Saccharomyces cerevisiae S288C: one gene and its partners. The protein of the gene in region 2 interacts with the protein of the main gene of each other region in a biochemical or structural test. Each region holds a gene or a part of one and is shown on either strand. Other genes may lie near its edges.

Region 1 (10,600 bases), on a different chromosome or scaffold from region 2:
AATGAAGAGTACGACAAATACGATTGCAGCCGCTTTACTTGGCGTATAGTGGTAAAGTACGAACCCCGAATCAGTTGTGGACATTTTGGAACGTTGATGGACAATAAAAGATTAAGTAGCTATGTAATTGGACACTATTAACCTACTATCCTGGACATTTTGAGGCAAGAGACTATACATCCCACAATTGATTCGGTAGGTGCTTTTATACTGATTCATTTGAGGTCTTGGCATTTGTTCAATTGAAGTACATTTAGTTGAAAAGTTGAGATTTATTTAGGATGAGCTTGCCGCGGCATGGGGAAAGAAACACTTCATCCTGTATGGAGAAAAACCACTTTGCCGCGGCACATCAAAACAGGGCTGAAACCTTCAGTATGCGCGATACCATTACACGACAATCGCATGGCTTAGTCATAATAGATCGAGGCGCTCATATACATGGCAGCCACAATATTTGAAGGTCGACAAATAAGGACAATATCAACGGTTAGGATACCGAAACTTGAATATGGCTGGTTTCTCAGGAACAGCCGATACTGTCCTGATCTTAACTTAAGGTGCGGTGAAGTAACCTGGATTCAACGCTGCATGAAAGACCTGATTAGGCTTATTTGATAATCCAACAAAAAAAGTGATTGGTTGGTTTGCTAGTATTCAAAAATAACTATTTTGGAGTACTTTGTTTGTTTGAAAGGCTGGGTAATAATTTTTTTGATGTGTGCTTTGAACAGTAAAAACTTTCTTCCTTTCTATAAGCTAGAAGCAAATCCAAATCTCATCGAATAAGCGCATTAGGTTAACGACATTATTGTTGTTTAAATTTTAAGCTTTTTAGCTTTTTATATTTTATTGAGATGGCAGCAAAAAGAGGATTAGCCAAACAAAAATCTAGGGTAACCAAGGCCTGTGATAGATGCCATAGGAAAAAGATTAAGTGCAACAGTAAGAAGCCATGTTTTGGGTGTATTGGGTCTCAATCAAAATGTACGTATAGAAATCAATTTCGTGAACCGATTGAGGCTTTTTTCAATTATACTGGTAGTCTCAGTAATGATTTGGATAATGCTAAGTGCAGCATAGCAAAATTGAAGGCACAGTTACCTCCAAGCGCACCGGCCTCTTTACAGAAAGGCCTAGCAAACATTTGCACTGAGCTTGAAAAAATACAACCTCAGCTTTACCTCAATCTGGACAGTAAGGAAATTAGCTCGTATGGTGGCCTGAAATCGATAGAAACAGAAATTATCGGGAAACAGTCAAAATCTTTGAATAGGTTCTCCAACGCTTTTGAAAGCAATACTGCACAAAATGTCAGTATGTACTTTGGGGTCTATTCACCGTTGCTATATTTTGCCTCTACGGGTATTAGCTGGATAACTAAAAAATTGATTTCATGTTCGAATGATAGGGAGACGAGAGAAACTATCTATTTATTTTTGAAGTTTCTTGACGCTAGCTCTGCTAGCCATGCTGGTCCTAAAGTAACTTCGATATCTCCTTTAGAGTATTATTCAAAGCTAAACGGACTTTCATGTGGGAACGACGTACTTATTCAACACATTATGTCAAATATATCGAATGAAATCAAAGGAAATACAAACATTAACCAAACAATCAAATTCAATAAACCAACAGACTGGTTTATGTACGGAGTACAATTGATGGAACAGCACCACAAGGCGTTGGATCGTAAAAGTTCCAAAAAATTACTTCCTTTGAAATATTTTCTTGAGCAAGATGAGTTGATTTTTTGTCTCTGTCTTGAATATTTTGAAAGATCCCTATTTTCGACAATGTACGACTTGACTATTTTAAAGGGCTTAGTCTCGTTGATGAAACACAGATATTGGATAGACGATCCTTTTGTGCTGGGAAGAATTATTTCCACGATGTCCAGGCGAAGTTTGGATGCTGGTTTGAATCGTTGGGAATATTATATTGGTCAGGATGAGGACACTGCCGAAGAATATCGTAAGTTATGGTGGGACTGCTACTGGTGGGATAGATGGTATTCATTGGTCACCGGTAAGCAGCCATTGATACCACATGAAATGACTTCGTGTCTCTTTCCCAAGGATGTGGTTGGATTAGGGGTAGATGATTCGATGGACTGTTTTACTTTAATAAACTTGGTGGAGCTCGACCCAAGTAAGTTTGATATTTGTATCTCTTTCGGCTATATTCTATTAACGAAAATTATTACAGCGGTATTCTCTGGTTTGCTTTATAATCGACACTTTACAGACTACAGATTATTTGCAACTCCTAACGCTAAAGACCTAAATGGAACCGCACGACAGCTTATGGTAGAGTTTTCAAAAATATGTAAAATTTTTCAGTGCATACAAGACAAACTAATCCCTTTCCTCAAACAATATTCTGAAAATAGTAATGTATTTGAACTATACACCCATTTCGGATTTGCAAAGGTTTGTTGTTTTCAGGGAATGGAGAGTTTAATTTTAAGGATACAAAATCTTCTACAAGAAAGAGAGAGAATTGAACTTGATTCCTGCGTAAAGGACATCAGGCTTCAAACCTTTGAAGCATCTGTAGATATTTTGACGGATGTTCTCAAGCACGAAGATACGTTCTATATTTTCCGTTGTTCGTGGTTCATATATGCCATCTTGATGAATATTACCTTGAATTTTATCGAGACCCCTAGAAGGAACTCGATATGTTATTTATCCTTGATGTGCCGCATGATAGCCTCATATAATGACTTATTTGTGAGCTCTGGCAATGTTAATTTCAAGGGCAACAACGCCTTCTCTAAAAAGTTGGAAAATGGAACAGCGGTTTCTTTCATCCTAACACGCATCTGCTGTCAGATGTACACACGTTCACAGAAAATGGCTAAGGAATCGCTGTTTTGTGAATTGAAAAAATATGGCCAGGCTTGCTCAGATGCTGGTCAAGCTGCGTTGGACATTGAATGTATCTGGTACAGGAATATTATAGGCGAACACAAAGAATCAAGCTTCCGTAAAGAAATTCTCAGCATTCTTGATAGGGAAATGGGTGATTTGGTGAATAATAGAGTTATTGGCGTACAGGGAAAAAATCAAGAAGGTGCTTGTTATGAGAAGTTGTCACCCAGCAGCACCAGTGTTTCAGTTGGCATGGACTTTTGTAGCCTCGAAAATTTTGTGACTGCAGAATCTCTACCAGACCTTCTCAATCTATTTTGGGAGGACACTGAATTTGGTATTACTAAAGAAAACCTCGGAGAGTAAAAACCAAGTATGCACCTAAACAATTGATCACTTTCAATTAGGAAATAAAATCCCTTGATTTAGACGAATACTGTAGAATGCAATAAAAGGTTTTGTGATTCTAATCTAGTCCCTTACGTTATGCACCGCTTTCAGGAAGGTTATGGGCTGTACCATGAAATCAAAGGTGGCTCATAACTAGTAAGTAAAAGTAAATGTCCTTTTTTTATGCAAGATCTAGAACGATTCGAGTATGGTGTTGATACCACTGTGGTAAGTCTTTCAAGCTACACGCAATTACACACACTCACAAATCTAGTTGTATTTACTCCTTTTATTGTTGCTAGTCTAATTATTCGTCCCACGATTTTATCGTTCTTTGAGTATTTCGGGTCTCAAAAGATTGCTAAATGAAATAACTCTTAAAAATTGCTTCACATAGTCTTGTTGTTACATTCACAATTCACAGCTTTCCGTTGCTCATCGCTTGATAGGAATATATTATGATAGGGATTATCCTGAAAGTTTCAGCAAAACGATAATTACTTCAGCTTTTCTTCGTCTATTTAACCTAGTTTTCCGTCATAAATCCGTTCTCTTAAAAGCACACCTACTCCACTTTCTGAAATAACATAGATATTGAATTTGACTTAGATTCATATATTAGAAAAATCGAATAGTTTCCTGTGCCTAGAAATTCTAAGGTGCCATTCCAGAGGATTTTTATGACAAAGATGAGATGTAAGAATCAACTTTTTTTAATATTTTATATCTTTCATCAAAGAAACATCACAATGTATATTACAAAGTGGAGAAGCATCCAAAATATAGCTGCAGTGAGAATTCATTGAACTGTATCAACTGGGTGGAAAATGTCACAGTCACTTATGGAATTCTATGATTTTATTCAATAGAAAACATTTAGTAAAGCTGGTAACCGACCTTTTTTTTTTACACATTTTTTTTTTTTTTGCTGATTATACCTTGCATTCTAACACCGGGTTCTGATGTTATCACCTACTTTGTATCTCGCATCATTCTTTATTTGGTAGACACGTCCCAAAATGGAGGATGCGCACTAACGAAAATGAAGGATAATGCAGTGAGAATGATAATTTTGATATTGATAGGATCAATTGAAAGCATATCACATGTTTTTTGTGAAATGTTGTATAAGAGATAGCGCTCTTGTTGGGTTTCGATAGGGGGAATGTGGAGTATCTGATGTAACACTGTAGTCTTATTTCTTGTCATAAAGAGGGACTGATTGGGGTGAGGCATATTATATTATAGGAAAAATTGCAGAATATCTAGGTAGTAGTCGCTTCAATAAATTTTTTTCCGACACAAGAATAATGAGACAAATCGGACTATATTTGACGATTAAATAAACCCAAAGCACCCCTATGCTATATGGGGGAACTTTAGAGTAAACAAGGTTGAAATACGTCAATTTGTAATTTCATAAAATACGTGAGGTCTTTTTGTGAGAGATACTTGCCCATTTAGATTTTTGTCCATATCGTGATAATTTTTTTGAGTTTTAATTAATGTGCTCCACCATCACAGAGTGTGTACCAGTGCAACCCACTCAGGGATATGCTTTAAGTCATATATTCTCGCTCTATGGGAACCATAAGCTGGACACATTTCTTGAGGTTATTTAGTAGCGAAAAATGGCGCAATGTTACTCTTTCACTTCTATTATATGGGGCTACAATGCCAATAAGGATTAATGGGTAGCGATTGTGGTTTCTTACCTTTGTGTAGTTGCGTAGGCTTTTTAGTGTATCAGTGAGCAAATTTAGTCCAAAAAGATCGCCAGCGAAGACTGTCGTATCTGGATCATTCGTAGTATCGATAGCTTAGCGATATTCTCGAGGATGTAAAGACAGCAGATTGGAGTTCTGATAATTTTTCATTACTTTTCAGTGAGAGAGTGCCTTTCTCGTTTTATATCTCAATCCTACCCGTAGAACTGGTCTGCTATTCTCATTTATCATTTTATTTCAAAAAAACCTTCAGGAGACAAACTGATTCCATCAAAGGCCTGTTTGCTATCTAGGACAATATTCGAGCTTAGTAAGTCACTTCCTGAAAACCATTCTGCTTGCGAGCCCGAAGCTTTGTGGCAATCAGTCTTCCACATCTGTTTGCAAGGGTGTTTTATTTCATGTCGTGAGAGATTTGTGATTAAAGCTGTTTTTATTAATCAGTTAGCAGCTTCATTCTCTTGAAGGATATATATAATTTTCTCAGATTTCTTCCGAATAATATTTAATCATTGAAATGGCAAAAATAAAAATTACTGTCAGCTACGCTATCTTTATATAGCTACAAAAAATTAATGGCCACTAAGCAATTACTGAGACGTCAAATCAAAAGGGTAATAAATGCTCTTGACTACGATATTATCGCTGCAGAGTCGCATACTATTTCTCAAGCAGTACGCTCATTGATCGCTTCCGCCAATTCTAGGCGTGTAGCGTGTTATATGAGCATGGATAAAGGAGAAGTAACGACTGGAGAAATCATTAAGAATTTATTTCAAGATGGCCAGGAGGTCTTTCTGCCAAGATGTACTCATACTTCTGAATCGAAACACTTCAAATTACGGGAAGATCATCATCCACATTTAATATTCCATCGAATGAGTAGTTTGAAAATGGTTCGTGATTTGAAGCCTCAAGGTCCATATCAACTAAAAGAGCCTGAACCGCATATTGAGGAATCAGATATTCTAGATGTCGTATTGGTGCCTGGAGTGGCGTTTGATATTAAAACTGGTGCAAGGATGGGTCACGGTGCTGGGTATTATGACGATTTTTTCCAACGGTATAAGATACTGCATGAAGGCCAAAAGCCCCTCCTAGTTGGACTATGTCTTATGGAACAGGTGGCCTCTCCAATTCCTTTAGAAAAACATGATTATTCCATGGATTGTATAGTATGCGGAGATGGATCCATACATTGGTTTCAATAATTTCATATATGTATTATTTACATGGTACAGCTATTGTATAAATAAATAAATAAATAAATAAGTAGACGGCAAATCTATTTTTCTTCTTTTGGATTCCCTTGTTCGCTAGAAAACGTGGCATTAGCTTTGACCAATGTCCTGTTGCCACTTTGGTCCATAAGTTCAGCCTTTAATTTAGTTTTGTTACCGTATTGCTGAAGATCGGTGGTTCTTACTACAACAAATTGATTAGCTAACGTGGGGAACTTGTACGAGATACTCAAATTCTTGGTTTCTTGGTTTATATTTTTTGTTCCTTTTTCGAGTCTAATGGCCTCCTTCATTAAATCTTCAATAACTGTTGCTAAAATGCCTCCGTGAATTAAGAAAGGATAACCAGTAAGTTTCATTCCTAAATGGTATAGCCCGACAGTTTCACGCCTACTGGGGTTGTAGTAAACTCTTGGTGGTATAGCGACGCCACCTGGTGTATTTAATGCCCTTGACACTAACAAGTTCTCCTCTTCATTAGCAATCACTTGTACAAAACCAGCATTCTCCAACTGTTTTACTATGGGTAGGCCATTTAAACGTCTATTCAGATCAGCGTGATATTTGACGACTTCATCTGCGTTCTTGGGTAGGGCATCATATCTCCAATAAGCTAGTAAGTCCGTGAACGTCATATGCTGTGTCAAGTACCACCCTCCAAGAAAACTTCCCCCAAAAATTGTCCATGGAATCCATCTTCTTTTGGGTTTAGAGGCTGTCTTGAAAACAACGCCATTTGTATACGTTCTTATCTGGGCTATTGCGATTCTTTTAAACATCTTGGCCTTGCTGGTACGGTCTCTTTCTCTTCCTTACTTTTCTTAGTTTCTTTATAAACTCTTTGTGCACTTTGTGAGTTTGTTCCTTTTCTGCCAAGGGGTATGCCTCATCGAAAATTAATCAATCTTTAAATAAGGTATTATGTTAAATAAATGAAATGTAAAATGTGTCGCTAATGGAGTACTTAGAGACATTTTTGGAAATCAGTTTTGTGAAATATTAGAAAGAATTCCTTTTGTTTATTTGCTCAGAGTACAACATCTCAAGACTTTTATTCCTGTTGCAAACCAATGTTCACGTACGGTGACCCAAAATGATGGCAGTCATAATCAAATCTAATGGAAGTTGAAATCAAGAAACGATAATGTAATAGGATTGTAAATTACAACTTACAAAGCAAAAGAAGTAATAATAATATGCTATTTAGAATTGCCGATTCTCTTTTATTGATTCCTGTATCTTTTGAGGAGAACTTCTAGTATATGTCTAATGTCGTTTTACTAGAAATGGGACCCCTGAAAATCGTCAGCAACTTTCAACTGAATCTGAGAATGATGCTCAAGTCGTCATTTTATCTTGCAGAAGCTAAGTGCAGGAGTTGATAATACAGCAGAATTAAAAGTGACAACGCAAGAAACAAAAACAAATGCAATCTCAATATTATGTGAAATTGATGATTTCGTAGCGAATCATGCGCACTGTGGGAGAAGCCTGGGTATAATTATGTATGCTAATACTGTTACGTTTATCTGAGGTTTGTGTGAATTTTGTGATAATTATCGGGATTCCATTGTTGATAGAGGCTTCAATACTATGTATACAGAACATACTAGAACTTCTCCTCAAGGGTATAGGGATCCTCAAATTTAATCGGTATTTGCATACAATAATATTACGATTATTTTTCCTATCGTTTTATATGCTTCATTTTCCCATTACATTATCAATTCTTGCATTTCAGCTTCCATTAAACTTGCTAACTCTTTCTCAAGCTTCATTTCATCTTCCTAGATCTCATATGATACTATACCAGCAGCAAGAATGCTACTAAATGGATGATATTCTAGAGTTTCATTTCATCATCTACACGAAGGGATGGGGGCATCTGAAGTATTTGAAACGTTGCTATGATTTCATAATTTATGCAGGTTTAACACAGATTACAGGTCTCTTGGCCCAGTTGGTTAAGGCACCGTGCTAATAACGCGGGGATCAGCGGTTCGATCCCGCTAGAGACCAATTTTTTTGAAAATCGTAAAAAGGCCCAAAAGGGAGAGCACAGCACGTTCTGCTTAAAAAAATAAAAAATGATGTCTTCAATAAAACATCTTAAGGACCAGTTTGTAGATCTGCGAAGTTGTTGACTAGATAAATTATAATAGCAAACAAACAAATAGGACAATGTCAGCGGAGAACATTAGTACTGGCTCGCCGACGGGCAAGCAGCCATCCTCTGAAGTTAATCTTGGCGAAAGAGAAGCTGGAACAAAAAATGAGAGGATGATGCGCCAAACCAAACTTCTGAAGGATACATTAGACTTGTTGTGGAATAAAACCTTAGAGCAGCAAGAGGTGTGTGAGCAACTAAAGCAAGAAAATGATTATCTAGAAGATTACATTGGCAATTTGATGAGATCCAGTAATGTGTTGGAAAAATAACTTTTCAACGTAGGTTTCTGTTTTAAATAGGTAGATCAGTCAAACGGATGCGTCGCATAAATGGCTGATAAATTTTTCCACTACTCGTTTTCTCTTTTTCTGAGTTTCTATATTTTGCGCCTGTTTTACAAAGAAACCAGTATGGTTTGATCCCATGGGCGATGCCACAAAGAAGCTATAGAGAAAAAATGTTAAAATATTCGAAAAAGCTTCGAAAGATTTTATTGCGGTCACTCATGATCATAAAAAAAACCCTTCTCGCATTTGTAACATTGTATTTTAGTTTCTACTTCTTGTAGCAGGCCCTGAAGTATAGATTCTCAGACACAGTGACAAAATGGATGTCGATGAGAGGTTGCATCAAGATGAAAATCAAACCCACCCTTTTTCGCAAAAGAAGTCAAGCAGTTTCTTGATAAAGGAAAAAGCTGCTACAAAATCCAAGGATCTTGAACATATAAGGCTTCGTGACCTAAATTTCAATCATAGAAAAAAGCTAGATGACAAAAAATTGGCAAAGCAAATCCCAGTTAAGGCAAATTTCAAGAAGCCTAACGAAATTGAAGCTCGCGCTAACCTAAATTCAAATGAATTAACAGATATCAACCTTGACTATATACCGGATTCCCCATCTATAGAGAAAATATCAGGGCCTGAGGATTCTATTGTTGTAACGCCAAGAAATATCATACATTTACAATCTGATTCAGATATTATTCTCGAGGAATGCGAGCATAATTATGACTGTAGCCCTTTTTACCGTCTGTTCAACTACGAAAATAGAATTGAGCCCGATGACTACGAGGCTATTATAAACGCTATAATAACTGACGAAATTGCTGGCACATATCCGGTTTTCGAACGGGAATTAGAGTACCAAGAACTGAAAAGTCTTGTCAGAAAGCGAGATTATATTATGTATTATTTCTTGTCAAGGGATTATCGGGGGTTTTTTCAGTTGAAAGAGGAACGTACTTTATTTTATAGGTACCCTTCAATTGCGTACACTAGCCCGTTGAGGTATCTGGATAATGGATCTGAAACCGAGCAGTTTACCGGGGATGATGATGAGGAGCTCCAATCATTTGATTTTGAAAACACATCATCTGTGAGGACTTTAGATAGTAATATATGGCGTTAGGTAATGCTCAATTTTATATACGCATATGCACCATAGTAATTTAATATTTTTTTTCCGAATTACAACAATTATATTATAATATTCCTTTCTTTTGGAGCTGCTAAAACAAAGAATCATAACAAGATATTAATAATATTAGTAACACAAAGTAAAAGAAAAGTTTAATAAAGGAGCAATGTCATCTTCATTAAAAAAGTATACAAAAACTAGTCACTTGAATCGGTAATACCTTTTTCACCAATTACGTAGACACATTCTTTTTCAGGCATATCTGGGGAATCTTGTAACTTGGCAACTCTTTCGTCACCACGCCCTTTTCTCAACAAAATCCTTGTTGCTGACGCATGTGCCAGAACGTGCCCTCCAATTGGTTTCCTACCATCTGCCGAGGCAAATAATGCAGAAGCACCTGGGTCTGATTGAACTTGGTTTGTCAGAAATACTGCAACATTAAATTCCTCTGCCAATCTATTCAATTTGAAAAGATGTTGATTTAGCTTTTGCTGTCTTTCGCTTAGTTCACCTCTACCGCAGTAGTCTACTCTGAAGTTTGCCATTATAGAATCTACCACGATAAGGCGATAATCTCCAGAACTAAGTTCTTCACCCAATTGTTCAACAAGTTCCATTTGATGTTCACTATTCAAGGCTCTAGCATATGAAACGTTTGCCAAACATGACTCGGGATCCAATTCATAACCTTCTGCAATTTGCTTAATCCTCTCGGGCCTGAAAGTGCCTTCTGTATCAATATATGCTACTTTCCCTTCACCACCACCCATTTCC
Region 2 (3,361 bases):
GGTCCCAGTAAAGATTTTATTCACTTCACTCTACATAAAGAAAATAAGGATACTATGGAAGCTGTCAATGTTATAACAAAGTTGTTAAGAGTTCCAAGCCGTGTAATTAGATATGCAGGTACTAAGGATCGTAGAGCAGTAACGTGCCAAAGGGTTTCGATTTCAAAGATTGGTTTGGATAGACTAAATGCTTTAAATAGGACTTTAAAAGGAATGATTATCGGAAATTACAATTTTTCGGATGCAAGTTTGAATCTGGGAGACTTGAAGGGAAATGAGTTCGTTGTTGTTATTAGAGATGTTACCACCGGCAATAGTGAGGTATCACTGGAAGAAATTGTGTCTAACGGCTGTAAGTCTTTATCAGAAAATGGGTTTATCAATTATTTTGGTATGCAGAGATTCGGTACATTCAGTATTTCTACGCACACAATTGGTAGAGAATTGCTCCTTTCAAACTGGAAGAAGGCTGCTGAGTTGATTTTATCTGACCAGGATAACGTGCTTCCTAAATCTAAGGAAGCTAGGAAGATTTGGGCAGAAACTAAGGACGCGGCTTTAGCATTGAAGCAGATGCCAAGACAGTGTCTCGCAGAAAATGCGTTACTATATTCTTTATCTAATCAAAGAAAAGAAGAAGATGGAACTTATTCTGAGAACGCTTATTATACTGCTATTATGAAAATTCCCAGAAATTTGAGAACTATGTATGTACATGCCTACCAAAGTTACGTCTGGAATTCTATTGCTAGTAAGCGGATAGAACTACATGGTTTGAAGTTAGTTGTAGGTGACCTTGTCATTGATACTAGTGAAAAGTCACCACTAATTTCTGGGATTGACGATGAAGACTTTGATGAAGATGTCCGTGAAGCTCAGTTCATTCGTGCAAAAGCAGTAACTCAAGAGGATATCGACTCAGTTAAGTATACCATGGAAGATGTCGTGTTACCATCGCCGGGTTTTGATGTGCTTTATCCTTCCAACGAAGAATTGAAGCAACTGTATGTGGATATATTGAAAGCAGATAATATGGACCCATTTAATATGAGAAGAAAAGTTCGCGATTTTTCATTGGCTGGCTCTTATAGAACTGTTATTCAAAAGCCAAAGAGTTTAGAGTATAGAATAATTCACTATGATGATCCTTCTCAACAATTGGTGAACACTGATTTGGACATCCTGAATAACACCAGAGCAAAAGAAAGCGGCCAGAAGTATATGAAAGCCAAGTTGGACAGATATATGCCAGATAAAGGCGGTGAGAAGACTGCGGTGGTGTTAAAATTTCAATTAGGAACCTCCGCATATGCCACCATGGCATTACGTGAACTCATGAAGCTTGAGACTTCTCGCCGTGGCGACATGTGTGATGTTAAGGAGAATATCTAAGGTTATACGAGGTGCAATATTCATGTATATTAGTTTACTTTTTTTGTCGGAAGCTCTTTCCCTCATACACTATTGTTGTGTCCGTGTCGTGTCACTTCAGGCGTCGGTAAATATGTATCTGCGCATCGCACACAAAGATAAAGCCTTTTTAAATATAAACAACACCTTCTAGATATATCTTATCAAAGGATACAACCACGTTTCTCAACAAGAAGGACCTAATAGAGGAAAATTATTATACTGTAGCTATCAATATTTTATAAACAAAAAGACAGATATATTCTCGCGTATTGAAGTCGGGAATCCAACGAAGGTAAAATAATAATAAAATACGAAGCATTTAATCCGGTCAAATGTACAAGAACTATTATTCAAACACAGAAGTTTATAAAAAGCATAAAGACTCTGGAAGTTTGAGGAAGAAAGCTTTGAGATCGAGAAGATCATCTTTTTTTTCATTTTTCAATGACTCGTCTAGTTCGAATGGAAACGAATTCATAGGTTTTAGACGATTTGCAAAAGCATATCTGTTTGGTCGTGAGATAGGTTCATGTGGTACAGATTCATATACACCAGTTGGGGCAAATGTAAACAAAAGACGTTTAAAAAAAGAAGATAAAAACGATCAACAGCTTTGGAAAAGGCAGCACCATTCACAGGGTTGTTTTTTTCCCATAGATGATGACAGTAATAAGCAAACAGAAGCAGCCGTCAACAAATTTTATGAGAATGGAGAATACGTTAATCAGGATTTAATTTTCAAGGGAAAAGTATATTCAGAAGAATCAGAGGTTGTTGATGAGAAAACGGCAGGTTCTCAGAATCCCGCTCTTCTCAAAACAAGATCAATTTCATTAAACGATATACCGCGCGGCACAGGCATCTCTAGTGTATTGTCTCAAGTACGCGGAGGTTCCTTAGAAAGAATTATTGTCTATAGGTACGATACTCCGGAACGTTCTTTGCATAAAGTTGATCTTTTCTTCTTAAATTACGAGGGAGCTCAATCTTTTATGAGATACGCAAAAACAAATATTTTTAAAGTTAATGGAGTTCAATTAAAACCAGAATGGATATTCCTCGAGAGCACATATGAAAACATAATGAAAGAGCAATCTGTCAACAGAATAATAGAAGAGGAAAAGTTCATATCAAGATGTTTGATAGTGAAAAAAAGCTCGACAACAGCAATGCCTAACAAATCAAATCTGAATAAAGGGCAAACTTTAGAAAACATTGATATTCAAGAATTAGAAAAAGATTTTCAGAATTTTGGAGAGGTTCTAGAAATTACGCCTATTGTATCAAGAAAATTATGCGTATCTATATTCTTTTACGATATTTCCAGTGCTATGAGAGCTATGGAAGAATACGAACAAAAGGGCTCATATCTATATAATAAATATTTTAAAACATGGACAATATGGTACGGGAAAGATATTACAGACCAGCCTTGCATTGACTTGTAGTACGAATTTTTAAGTTGATAACTAAATTACTCTTCAACAAATAAATAAATGCAAATGAAGTCCATTATGTACGATTTTTAAAGTGCAAGTTACTTTCAAATTACTTTACATCTATTCTATCAAAAACGACCAATAATCCGCCAACAAGATGTAATGAACCAGTTACAAATATATCAGCAGGTTCATCGTATAGCGTTTCAATCAATTCATTTGCTTCCTCTATACTAGCCGTTACATGCGTTTTAGCACGATTATCGTCTATTTTGTTCCAATTCTTGACTAATGACTCCTGGACTTTCAATTTTTCTACATCTTCTTGAGAAGTGTTCATGGAAACGAGGTCAGCGCTGTATGAGCCTGATTTCCAAGTGACATTAGTAGTAAATATCACATCATCGAACGTTATTTCTGGCGAAACAGATGAGTACAGGTTATTCACAAGAGCGTTGGCATCTCTGCTTTGTTGGTTGAAGAGCAAGATCTTCTTTCTCTTCGACAAT
Region 3 (3,495 bases), on a different chromosome or scaffold from region 2:
CGGTTTTAGTTTGTTACCATAAGGTAGTAGAATCAGCAGCTGATCGGGAGGAATCTTCCATTTCCTAGCAATGAACTGTTTAAATTTGTCCAGGGAAACGAAAAAATCAACATTCGTAGTTATACATTCTCCAGATATTGCATTTATGATAGTGGCTGTTGTCTGCAGTGGTGTTATTTCTTGCTGGGTAGGTGCAGTGCTATATTCATCAGCGTCTGCCATGATGTATAAAAGAAAATAAAAGAAGTACTTTCCGAACAACAACAGTACACTAAAATAATCGTTGTTCAAAGGAGGACTACTTTGGTTCTGATTTGAGAAAATGGTACTCAAATAAGGGCATCGCTATTATATAGTTCCATTCCTACCAAGAAACCGGGTAGCCAAAAGCGATAAAAAGGCTCTCCATGGCAAGCCTTATTAAAAATAATAATCATGAAGAACAAAGTTTCACAAGAGATTACAAGATAAAAAAGCCACTACTACAGAAAAGGCGTTGGGTCAGGACATGGAAATAGTGTACAAGCCATTGGACATACGTAACGAAGAGCAGTTTGCTAGTATTAAAAAACTAATAGATGCGGATCTATCAGAGCCGTACTCGATATACGTATATAGGTATTTCTTGAACCAATGGCCCGAGTTAACGTACATTGCCGTTGACAACAAGAGTGGAACGCCTAACATACCCATTGGTTGCATAGTGTGTAAGATGGACCCGCATAGAAACGTGAGACTGAGAGGATATATAGGAATGCTAGCCGTAGAGTCCACATACCGCGGGCATGGCATAGCAAAGAAACTAGTGGAAATTGCCATAGATAAAATGCAAAGGGAACATTGCGATGAGATCATGTTAGAAACAGAGGTGGAAAATTCGGCGGCTCTAAACTTATATGAAGGAATGGGTTTCATCAGAATGAAACGGATGTTCCGCTACTACTTGAATGAAGGGGACGCCTTTAAACTGATATTGCCGTTGACTGAAAAGAGCTGCACTCGGTCTACGTTCCTAATGCATGGCCGGCTGGCCACATAAAAGGAAAAACACTCGATGATGATAAAATATATATTAATAATACAATTTTTTTATTTATTTATTTAATCATATGTATAGATATAGAAAAAGGGCAGTAGAGAAAAGAGGAATAGAAAGGAGAGAGATAATAAAGCAAGTTTCAAAAAGAACAAGAGGAAAAGAAATTAAATCACACAGACAAAAACGCGGGGAGGAAGTATCCCTAAGCCAAAGTGGCGTTATATAACTCCTTTTCGGATTCATATCTCTTCTTATCGGCCTGGGCCTTGGCCTCGTAAGGCTGCTTTTCCTCTGGCGTTAGAGCCTTCCACTTCTCACCCAACTTCTTGCCGACTTGTCCAAATGTGATATCTGGATTTTCAGAACGAACAATATCTCTGTTTTCGTTAGCGAAAAACATGTAGGCGGACAAAGCCCTCTTAGGGGCATTTGGGTCCTTCTTCTTTCTAGTGGTTCTCTTCTTAGGTTCTCTTGGGGTGACCATTGCGACTGTGCTTTACTATGTATAGGGTAGTCAATTGAGCAAAAACAGGAAAAAAACACGTCCCAAAACAGTCCTTCTTTAACAGTCGGTACCAGTAATAAATACTGTGTTGTTTGTTTGCCCACCGCTAAATAAACGAACGGCGAAAAAAATAGGCGGCAAAAGGCGGGTGATTCGAAAAGTATCGCGCGCGACGAGGCGTGAGGGTAGAATTCGGCGCCACTAATTTGTGACACTTGAACAGTATTTAACGTCGTGCGATACATCATATCGATAGAAATGTAGACGTGCTCAACGCTCCAAGAATGAATTGCACACTTACAGATAATACCAGAGCCATAAATGTGGCCTCCAACCTCGGTGCTCCTCAACAGAGGACGATTTTTGCCAAGGAGAGAATATCCATCCCAGGATACTACGAGATAATCCAATTCCTGGGCAAGGGAGCCTATGGGACAGTGTGCTCAGTGAAGTTTAAGGGTCGAAGCCCAGCTGCTAGGATAGCGGTAAAGAAGATCAGCAACATCTTTAATAAGGAGATCCTTTTGAAAAGGGCCATCCGTGAGCTAAAATTCATGAACTTCTTCAAGGGCCATAAAAATATTGTAAATCTAATCGATCTAGAGATAGTGACCAGCTCGCCCTATGACGGACTGTATTGCTACCAGGAACTGATTGATTATGATTTGGCAAAAGTCATACATTCGTCCGTGCAGCTCTCGGAGTTTCATATCAAATACTTTCTTTACCAAATCCTGTGTGGGCTAAAGTACATACACAGTGCAGATGTCATCCACCGAGATTTGAAGCCTGGGAACATATTGTGCACATTGAATGGCTGTTTGAAGATCTGCGATTTTGGTCTCGCTAGGGGTATTCATGCCGGATTTTTCAAGTGTCATTCCACTGTGCAGCCCCATATAACCAACTACGTTGCTACAAGATGGTATAGGGCGCCTGAGCTGCTTCTTTCCAACCAACCGTATAGTAAGTCCGTAGACATATGGGCTGTAGGGTGCATTCTTGCAGAATTCTATGCTCGAAAGCCTGTTTTCATGGGGCGTGACTCCATGCACCAGATATTTGAAATCATCAAAGTCTTGGGTACTCCTGATAAAGATATTCTGATCAAGTTTGGCACCATTAAAGCTTGGAATCTAGGCAAAAACAGTAATAACCCTGTATATAAAAAAATCCCATGGTCCAACATTTTCCCCTTTGCCTCGCATGAAGCAATCAATCTCATAGAGTCATTACTTCATTGGGACTCAACACATAGGTTAAACGTGGAACAAGCTATATCACATCCGTTCCTAAACGAGGTGCGGAAGCCAGACGACGAGCCTGTTTGCCTTCAGGGTCCTTTCGACTTCACCTATGAATCCGAGTTGAATTCAATGTCCAAATTAAGAGACTACTTGGTTGAAGAAGTGAAAAATTTCAAAACCGATTTGTCCTCCTCGTCTTTATAGTAACCACTACACAAATAGGTATATCATGAAGTTATATTCTGACCGTAACAATTCTTCTTTCTTTGACGTAAACTTTATGGCGGGTAACGCTCAAATAGTTTCTTGTTAACCATTTCAAATAACAATAAGTATACAACTAAACAAAGTCTGCTACTTGTTAAATATAGGAGTATAAACAAGATAAGCTTGCTACTTTTTCAGCACAACCGCCACCTCTCGATTGCATACAATGGATTACCTAAAACCAGCGCAGAAGGGGAGAAGACGTGGTCTTTCCATAAACAGTCTTTCGGAGACTCAGCAATCTGCTATGAATAGTTCCCTGGACCATCTTCAGAATGACTTAAACAGGATAAATCTTCAATGGAATAGAATACTGTCGGATAACACTAATCCCTTAGAACTAGCGCTCGCATTTTTGGATGATACATCTGTAGGTCTGGGCCACCGGTATGAAGAATTCAATCAATTAAAGTCACAAATTGGTAGTCACTTACAAG

What was found.
Region 1: the proteins of SSP2 (region 2) and ISC10 form a complex in vitro, tested with the Saccharomyces cerevisiae proteins (one study listed by BioGRID).
Region 3: the proteins of SSP2 (region 2) and SMK1 form a complex in vitro, tested with the Saccharomyces cerevisiae proteins (6 studies listed by BioGRID, with this or other methods).

The regions. Positions count from the first base shown.
Region 1 is NC_001137.3:548,938-559,537, reverse strand, and holds ISC10 (Isc10p), read left to right. Parts: upstream 1-9,010; coding exon 9,011-9,814; downstream 9,815-10,600. Other genes in the region: PUG1 (Pug1p), read right to left, coding at 1-84; TOG1 (Tog1p), read left to right, coding at 858-3,242; FAU1 (5-formyltetrahydrofolate cyclo-ligase), read left to right, coding at 5,569-6,204; FMP10 (Fmp10p), read right to left, coding at 6,279-7,013; YER181C (uncharacterized protein), read left to right, coding at 7,742-8,065; SLO1 (Slo1p), read left to right, coding at 8,416-8,673; recombinase DMC1, read right to left, coding at 10,021-10,600. UniProt on the Saccharomyces cerevisiae protein: Indispensable for spore formation.
Region 2 is NC_001147.6:788,242-791,602, reverse strand, and holds SSP2 (Ssp2p), read left to right. Parts: upstream 1-1,745; coding exon 1,746-2,861; downstream 2,862-3,361. Other genes in the region: pseudouridine synthase PUS7, read left to right, coding at 1-1,392; MET7 (tetrahydrofolate synthase), read right to left, coding at 2,962-3,361. UniProt on the Saccharomyces cerevisiae protein: Essential for sporulation and seems to have a role at the time of, or after, initiation of nuclear division. Appears to have a role in outer spore wall formation.
Region 3 is NC_001148.4:664,452-667,946, forward strand, and holds SMK1 (mitogen-activated protein kinase SMK1), read left to right. Parts: upstream 1-1,828; coding exon 1,829-2,995; downstream 2,996-3,495. Other genes in the region: autophagy protein ATG11, read right to left, coding at 1-222; peptide alpha-N-acetyltransferase MAK3, read left to right, coding at 509-1,039; NHP6A (high-mobility group nucleosome-binding protein), read right to left, coding at 1,242-1,523; YPR053C (uncharacterized protein), read right to left, coding at 1,337-1,792; exocyst subunit SEC8, read left to right, coding at 3,225-3,495. UniProt on the Saccharomyces cerevisiae protein: Required for spore wall assembly. Required for proper deposition of the two outer layers of the spore wall, the chitosan and dityrosine layers. Negatively regulates GSC2, an alternate catalytic subunit of the 1,3-beta-glucan synthase (GS).